Coturnix japonica: one gene and its partner. The protein of the gene in region 2 purifies or fractionates together with the protein of the main gene of each other region. This does not show direct contact. Links are inferred from orthologs where the notes say so. Each region holds a gene or a part of one and is shown on either strand. Other genes may lie near its edges.

Region 1 (4,356 bases), on a different chromosome or scaffold from region 2:
GAAACTCAGTCTCTCCTGGAGAGGCACCTGCCCCAAACCCTGATGATCTGTGTGATTTCAGTGCCTCCTTTTTGCTAGAAAAAGACACCTGCGTCACGACTCAGTCTTACAAATGGGACCCAGAGAGGGCTGGATGCACTCAGCAGCAGCTGAAGGCAGTTCAGCAGAGGGAGGAAGTGGGAGTTAGCAGGGAGAGGAAAGCCAGCAGCACCTGCCAGCAGCTTCACTCCATGGCTGCTGAGAGCACACAGAGCCCACAGCAGCACCACGTGCGCTCTTCTCTTCCTTTTGGCAAACAGATGGGGTTAACTCCAGCAAGAAGGGGGAATTCAGAGAGGGCAGCAAACAAACATCAGTGATCTCTGAGAGGCTGATGTAAATCCTGAGCTTTGTTGCCAAGTGAGCACCTGACCCCGATGGGGCATTCCCTGCCCCCACCTTCACACTGGGTTAGGATCCAGCCCTGGATGTTCCACGTATTCTACACCCTGTGAGGTGGGCAGGGCTGGTGTGGGGAGAGCAAGGGGGAGAGGAAGGGGGTCAGGCCATCAGTGCACAACTTTCTATGGAGGAAACTTCTGTGCTTAGAAACATAAAACTCTCCTGCCCATGTAAAGCAAATACACTGTTTCTAAGCGCCGTAGCCCCGAGCTGCGGCCCCAGCTGGGACCTGGTCCCAACAAACCTATTTCTGTCCCGTGTTACGTGATCCCAATGGATCTATTCCTGTCCCTCTGTTACGCAGCCCCAACAAACCTTGTTACAGAGCTCAGTGCACTGTCAGCTGCTGGAGTTACCGAGGGGTAAAGCAGCATTAAAGGCTGTTTGCAATGGAGTCTGTCGGCACTTTTAAGGCCACAGAGACCACCCGAGCCCTGTGGTTTAATGATGGAGGGTTTGATTTGCACACAGGGACGCTCGTCCCTCCCTGCAGACGGGCAGGAGCCAAATGAACCAAAGCGACGGATCCAAGAAACAAGAGGAAAGAAAAACCCAGAAGGAACGGGGGGAATCGGGGTGATTTTACCACACACAACATTGAGGCCTAATGGAACAACACACCCCAAGGAGCCGAGGGTTTGAAGGGCAAAGTGCACCAGCTTCAGTCCGAGCCCAGCTCCGGCGATGATCGAAAGTGAAGTTCAAAGGGAAAATAATCACAAATAAACCACGATTTTAACGTGTGGATCCTCAGCCCAACGCGACCCGCGGCCCCTCAGCCGCGCTCAGCCAGGCCCGAAGCGTCGCCCCCTCACGCACTCACCCGCTGCCGGCTTCGCGCACCACGCAGTATAGCACACGCGGATTGGCTGATAGGAACTGAGGGTACTCCTCTCAGCCAATCAGCACAGCCCGCTTTGGAATCTGTCCCACCCCTCGGGTAGAATGAGCCTGGGGTGCGGCAAAGGCTGATGGGAATTGTAGTTCCCGCCCACGCCCGGCCCGGCCCCCTCCCTCCCGCTCGGACTACCGCTCCCGGCATGCCCCGCGGCGCGGCGCCCAGTCACAGCGCGCTTTGTTGTGGGGGTGCGGCAGCCGCCGAGGCCCCGTTTCAAGATGGCGGACGACAGTGAGACAGCAGCGAGGCGGCCGCCGGCGAAGCCTCACCGGCCGTCAGCGGAGGAGAACGAGCACGAGCACTGCAGCGACTGCGAGAACGAAGCGGAGCGCGGCTCCAAGCGCGGGTGAGCGCGGGGCGGGGGGGGACGGCGGGGAGCATTGAGGTGGGCAGCGGCCGGGAAGTCGGCTCCGCTCCGCCCCTCGCGCGCGCTGATTGGCTGATAGATAATATCGCGTGGTGCGATTGCACGAGACGGCTGTCAATCGGCGTGTGGGCGGGCCGTTTGGCGTCCATTCACTCCTATGTGTGTGAGCGTGTGTTGGGGCTGCGGCCGGGACCGGGCCTGGATGGGGGCGGGGGAGAATGGGGGCTTTAAATGAGCTGTCATTGAGCTGCCACCTTCACATCGGGTGTTGGAGGCTATAACGAGCGTATTGAGGAACTCACACCTTCAATCGGGGTGTTGGGGCATTAACCGAGGCTGTAAATGAATTTGACTAACATCACATCGGTGTAGTTGGGGCTATAACGCGAACTGTGCACTGAGCTTCATCACCATATTCACATCGGGGTGTTGGGGCATTAACCGAGCTGTGCATTGAGCTCACACCTTCACATCGGGGTGTTGGGCTATAACGAGCTGTGCATATGAAGATCACACCATTCAATATCGGGGTGTTGGGGCTATACCGAGCTGTATATTGAGCTCACACCTTCACATCGGGGTGTTGGGGCTGTAACCGAGCTGTATATTGAGCTCACACCTTCACATCGGGGTGTTGGGGCTGTAACCGAAGCTGTGCATTGAGAGCTTCACACTTCACACGGGGTTTGGGGCTGATTAAGACGAGCGTGCACTGAGCTCACAGACGCTTCACCAATCGGGGTGTGTTGGGAAGCTATAACGGAGGCTGTGCACTGAGCTTCACACCTTCACATTGTAGGTGTTGGGGCATTAACCGAGCTGTGCACTGAGCTCACACCTTCACATCGGGGTGTTGGGGCATTAACCGAGCTGTGCACTGAGCTCACACCTTCACATCGGGGTGCTGGGGATTAAACCGAGCTTGGCGATTGACTCACACACACTTCACATCGGCGGTGTTGGGGTGTAACCGAGCTGTTATTGAGCTCACACCCTTCAACACCGGGTGTGGGGTGTAAAGGAGCTGTACATTGAGCTCACACCTTCACATGGGTGTTGGGGCTATAACCGAGCTGTGCATTGAGCTCACACCTTCACATCGGGGTGTTGGGGACTATAAGATGCTTGTGCACTGAGCTCAACTTCCACATCGGGGCTCTGGGCTGTAACGAGCTAGTGCACATAGAGCTCACACCTTCACATCAGGGTGTTGGGAGCTAATAAAACGAGCTGTGCATTTGTAGCTCACACCTTCAACATCGGGGTGTTGGGGCTATAACTCGAGCCTGTGAGCACTGGCTCACACCTTCACATCGGGGTGCAATGGGCTTGATAACGCGAGAAGCTGTGCACTGAGCTCACACCTTCACATCGGGTGTTGGGGCTATAACCGAGCTGTGCACTGAGCTCACACCTTCACATCGGGGTGTTGGGGCTGTAACCGAGCTGTGCATTGAGCTCACACCATTCACACTGTTTGTGCCTCCGTGTGGCACATCGCAGCCACAGCAGCACCCACCTGCATCGCACCAAGGGCTTTTCAATCCCCATCTCAGAGATCTTGCATGTCAGGCAATAAATGCCATGCAGGATGTATTGCAGGAGCTGTTTTTTGCACTACAGATGTGCAGATCTGTTCTATTTGCCTCCTGGGTGTGGCATCGTGTCTCACGTCGTGTCTCCTTTGAATGGGTTGAGCCGTGCTTGGGAAGGATCCTCTTTTCCTCTTCTCTTTCATGATGAGGTTTGCAGGATCCAGAGCCAAGCACAGAGCACACATGGCATTCACTCAGTGCTGCTGTGCCTTCTCATTGTGGTTTCCCAGTACAGCTGTTGAGATGAATGGTGGCTGATGGGTGGGGTAGGAAGCGTTGGGTGCTGCTGAGCAAATCAGAGTCATTAAGATTGGAGGAGTCCTCTAAGATCGTCCAGTCCAACCCATCCCCACCATGCCCACTCATGGAGCATTAAGGCTGGAATAGACCTCTAAGATCATCTTGTCACACCTCAACCCATCCCCACCATGCCCACTCATGGAGCATTAAGGCTGGAAAAGACCTCTAAGATCATCCAGTCCAACCCCAGCCCATCCCCACCATGTCCGCTCATGGAATATTAAGGCTGGAAAAGACCTCTAAGATCATCCAGTCCAATCCCATCCCCACCATGTCCCCTCATGGAATGTTAAGGCTGGAATAGACCTCTAAGATCATCTCGTCCAACCCCAGCCCATCCCCACCATGCCTACTCAAGGAACATTAAGGCTGGAATAGAACTCTAAGATCATCCAGTCCAACCCCAACCCCACCGTGCCCCCTCATGGAATGTTAAGGCTGGAATAGACCTCTAAGATCATCCAGTCACACCTCAACCCATCCTGATGTCCTCTAACCATATCCCCCAGTGCCACATCTGTAAGGTGAGCACCGTTCCCAGCACAGAGCTCACAGGGGCAGTGTTTGGAGCAGTGCTCGGGGCTGTCCCTCTGCCAGTGCCCAGCTTGTGCTCACAGCCATCAGCTCTTGGCTCAGGGCTGTAGAACCCAGCACTATCACAGAGCGATAGCAGCACTTCCTTTCCTTTTAAGGACAGGAAAGAGGAATTGAGATCCCCCGCCCTGGTTCAGTGTCAGCGCTGGGAAGTGCCTCTC
Region 2 (3,816 bases):
AAGAACCTCGTGGTGTTCTCACAGATCTTTCCTACAAATCCAATTTGAAATTGGAAGAGTGGAATAGCTGTTATCCTACCACCATCCCCTAATGGGTACAACTCCATCATTTGGAAGAACAGAGCTCCCTCTCGTGGCTCCTGAATGCGGACGTGGCAGGATGAAATAGTGGGAGATCAAAGGATGAGAAGACTCCTCGTGGGATTTCAGCTGTACAAAAATGGTGATAAAATGAAAATGCAATAGAGAGGACAGGTGAATTCTCTTGAAGAAAGGAGTGCTGCCTGTACTTGAATGCTGACTCTGAAATTGCATTCTTTGTTCTTCTAACTTCCTCTGTTAGGCCTTTTCACAGCTGAGCAGTTTTCTTCCATGGAAAGGTCTTAGATCTCTTAAAAGGTTTCTAGCTCCCTCAGGGTGAGGAGTAAGGGGAAAAGAATAAGGGCTACAGTGGTGAAGGCACAGACTGTATGAATAAGAAAACCACTGGTGTCAGAAAGCCAAGAAATACATGCTTGATTACAAGACCGAGAGGTTTATGTACTGAAGTGCCACAACAAGTGTTTGAAGAGTGAAAATGGCATTTCTTAAAACTGATCAGACAGCCTTAGCCCTGCTATTAGCAGAGAAGCTTCTGTTCAAGCTCTAGAACTGCTCTTTCCTCCTGTATCAACTATTTAAAACCACAGGAAGATGGAACCACACACCAGAGAGCAAATGCTGGTGCAGAAGCATTACCCTGTGTGGTGTCTGCTGAGTCTTGTGCACAGGGCTATGTGAAAGAAGAGCTCTCACAACCATCCCTTCCTCGCTTGAAGGGAAGAACATCACTGTAGCCAGCTCCTTGCTTGTAGGATGAGTTCTTAGGATTTGAAGAGCACCAGGTTATTCCAGCTCCATAGCAGAGAGCTTTGTAACCCAAACGGATAACTACAAAAAAGAGTAGCTTTCTGAAGCAAGGAGGGAAAAACATACTCAAAGCAGAACCTGTCACAGCACTTGTGATGAACACCAGCTCTACCCAGTTGTCTCTAAACAGCATTACCTCTTCTCTGCAAAAACAGGATCAGACCTGTGGAACACAGGCTGGCCAAGAAGCAGCAATCACTCTTATGAGTCCAGAACAGCACCAGAATGTAAGAGGGAATCAAGTCCTTGATTCATAGGCTGGTGCTCACACAGGATCCTGCTTCCAGAGTGCAGGATAAGAGGGGGAGAAAAAAAGAGAATCAATTTCCTACAGTGCAAAGAAATTACCATGCTGTCAGCATTTTGCTATTAGTGAAACATCTCCCTTCTAACTCCAGTTAAAAGCAGTATTTTTCTAAAGAGCAATCCTCTTAAAAATCATATAGAAATCAGTCTATAAACAGGGAGATATCCATAAATACTCAATCAAGTAATAAACCTAACAGACGAAAGGCAGACTAATTAAAATGACAGTACAATCTCCCTTTAACGAACACATACAGGACTCAAGAACACGCTTGTTATGTTGGAGTACCTCATCATAATCAGATTTGGTGATTTGCTGCATCAAAACAAAAAGGAAACATTTTCAGAATTGATCCTTCAGTTCACGTCACTCTTATGGAGATTGCTTTCTATTGATCAACATTTAAATAGTAGTTGAAAAGGGAAAGACGAGAAAAGGATAAGAAGTATCTTTACATGCTAAATACAGCATGAACCGATAAAAGCAAAATAAATTAGATGGCTATAGCCAAATCAACCCTGCACGTGTGCTCACTGGGATGAAGATAATTACAAATGAAAACGATGGTTCTTTTGTGCTTCGGCCTTAACAAAAGGGGAGCTTCAAAATGAAGTTAGAGCTTAATTTGCTCAGAATGAAGTCTCCCATACAGCAATTAAGTTCTGCATGAAGCTGAACTGTTGGCTTCAGAAGGTGCAGGTGCTGATTTGTTTTCTGAACAGTGTTTCCTACCTGTGGGTTCCAGCTGGGGTCCAGTTTTTTCACTGTAGCAACGTACTCCTGCATAGCTTGATGGGGAGTGGTGTCTCCCAGGGCTTTCCAAGCTTCCCTAGGGCAGAGAGCAATGTATCAGTGAGCTGCTCTGAGACAGCACAGCGTGTTTTTATGGTGTCATCAGTAAACAAAGCAAGAAGATCCATCCATATGGTTTCAAGGGGTGTAAAGCCACCTCCCACCCAGTCTGAAGTGGTCAGCTTCTCAATGAAGCTATGAATGGCTCTTGCAGGTGCAGCACTTTGCTATGAGAACACCTTTCAGGGGGTCTAGATGTAGGTTGGAATGTGGTTTGTGATCCAACCTATATGCAGCTATCTTGGCTGTTTTTACAATGCTCTCATGGTATGCAGGCCAATTCTGGGTGTAGAAGGTAAAGACAGGCTGGGCTTTCACATCTGCGTGAGGCAGAGTAAGCTGTTCAGGTTGAAAATTGACTTGATCCTGTCTGTCATTGCAGGCCTGCAATACCAGTAATTGGTAACTGCAATACCAGTAACTGCAATACCAGTTTCTGCCCTACTTGCAGAAAAAAAGCTATGCTTTTTGTGCAGACAATGCTATATGGAACAAAAGCACATTCAGTGGCAGCCTCTCAGATCTGATATCCTCACAGTGCGGTCTGTAACACAGCACAGAGTAGAACCAGGAGCCTCTAGGAGTTGCAAGGATTTCCTCTTACCATTTCTGCTTCCCCTCAAAATCGAAGAAGCTTGGCTTTGGAGTGTTACAGGTCCCAAATTTCACCTGAAAATGAAAATTCTTTCTGTTAGAATAAATCAAATAGAACTCATGAATGGTCTGTGAGGCATCCATCTGGATGCAAGGGAAGCACCAGCTGCCAATAAGCCAAGGCCTGAGACGATCAGTGTGATGGAAGGAGGCCACAGTGGCAGCACCAAGGCAGGGTTAGCAGATGGGTATTGCTGCAGCACAGAGTGTGATCCTGTACACAGCTTTTGTGGCTCAACTCTTGTTCAGAAACACCAAAACCAACGTGACACCCAAACTAACACAGATGGACAAGAAGTCTTTTATTTGGTGTGAAATGGACTTGGTGCCAGCAGGACTTCTGCAGACAGCTTTCCATAGGAAGACATCCTGATGTGATAAGTACAAAGCCGTTTCTTTCACTGTGGGGTGCAGCTCAATGATCTCTGAGGTCCCTTCCAGGTGAAGCCATTGTATGATGCTGTGGTCTGAAGGAGGGCAGGGGCTGCTGGCAGAACATTTTGTTAGCCAAGCAAAACCCAACTGCCTTCACCCCTCTTGTTTAGAAATGAAATATGCCCCAATGTTCAGGCAGGTGAAGTGCTTAAGTCAACCTCACCTTAGCAGGGTGGGGATATTTGCTGAGGAGAGAATCATGAATCATGCTTTAAAGAGAGCGTGCCCACACTGAGAGATATTTATTAGTTACACTATGTTTTCATTTAAAGCGTGAGAGACTGTGACTGAAATTAATTCTCCGTGCATCCGAGTGCCTGTGAGTAAGCAGTCCATCCAAATTAGGATCCCAGCTGGCCTGTAAAACAACGCAATGCGTTTCATGGAGGGACAAGGGAAAGGATGAGCAGCAGCTCAGCTCTGTGAATCAATCACCACTCATTTGTACTGTAAACGTTTTCTCCTGTGCTCAGATATGGTATGTACCATTTGTTTTATACAACATTGTGTGAGAGGAAAGTGCCTGCCTGGCAGTTCTTTGGTTCGACATGCAAGCAGGTCAGACAAAAGAAATCCCATCTTTTTTAATATGAATTGTTTCGATGATGATGGCAGCAAAACAAGAGAGCAGTTTCTTCTCTTTAGATTTGGCATTCAAA

Evidence for each region.
Region 1: the proteins of ACBD6 (region 2) and NMT1 purify together in Homo sapiens (co-immunoprecipitation; 3 studies listed by BioGRID and IntAct, with this or other methods). This does not show direct contact. The link is inferred for Coturnix japonica from reciprocal best matches to the Homo sapiens genes ACBD6 and NMT1.

The regions. Positions count from the first base shown.
Region 1 is NC_029542.1:815,248-819,603, forward strand, and holds the start of NMT1 (glycylpeptide N-tetradecanoyltransferase 1), read left to right. Parts: upstream 1-1,504; 5' UTR 1,505-1,557; coding exon 1,558-1,685; intron 1,686-4,356.
Region 2 is NC_029523.1:5,796,494-5,800,309, forward strand, and holds part of ACBD6 (acyl-CoA-binding domain-containing protein 6), read right to left. Parts: intron 2,738-3,816; coding exon 2,673-2,737; intron 2,046-2,672; coding exon 1,949-2,045; intron 1-1,948. UniProt on the Homo sapiens protein: Binds long-chain acyl-coenzyme A molecules with a strong preference for unsaturated C18:1-CoA, lower affinity for unsaturated C20:4-CoA, and very weak affinity for saturated C16:0-CoA. Does not bind fatty acids. Plays a role in protein N-myristoylation.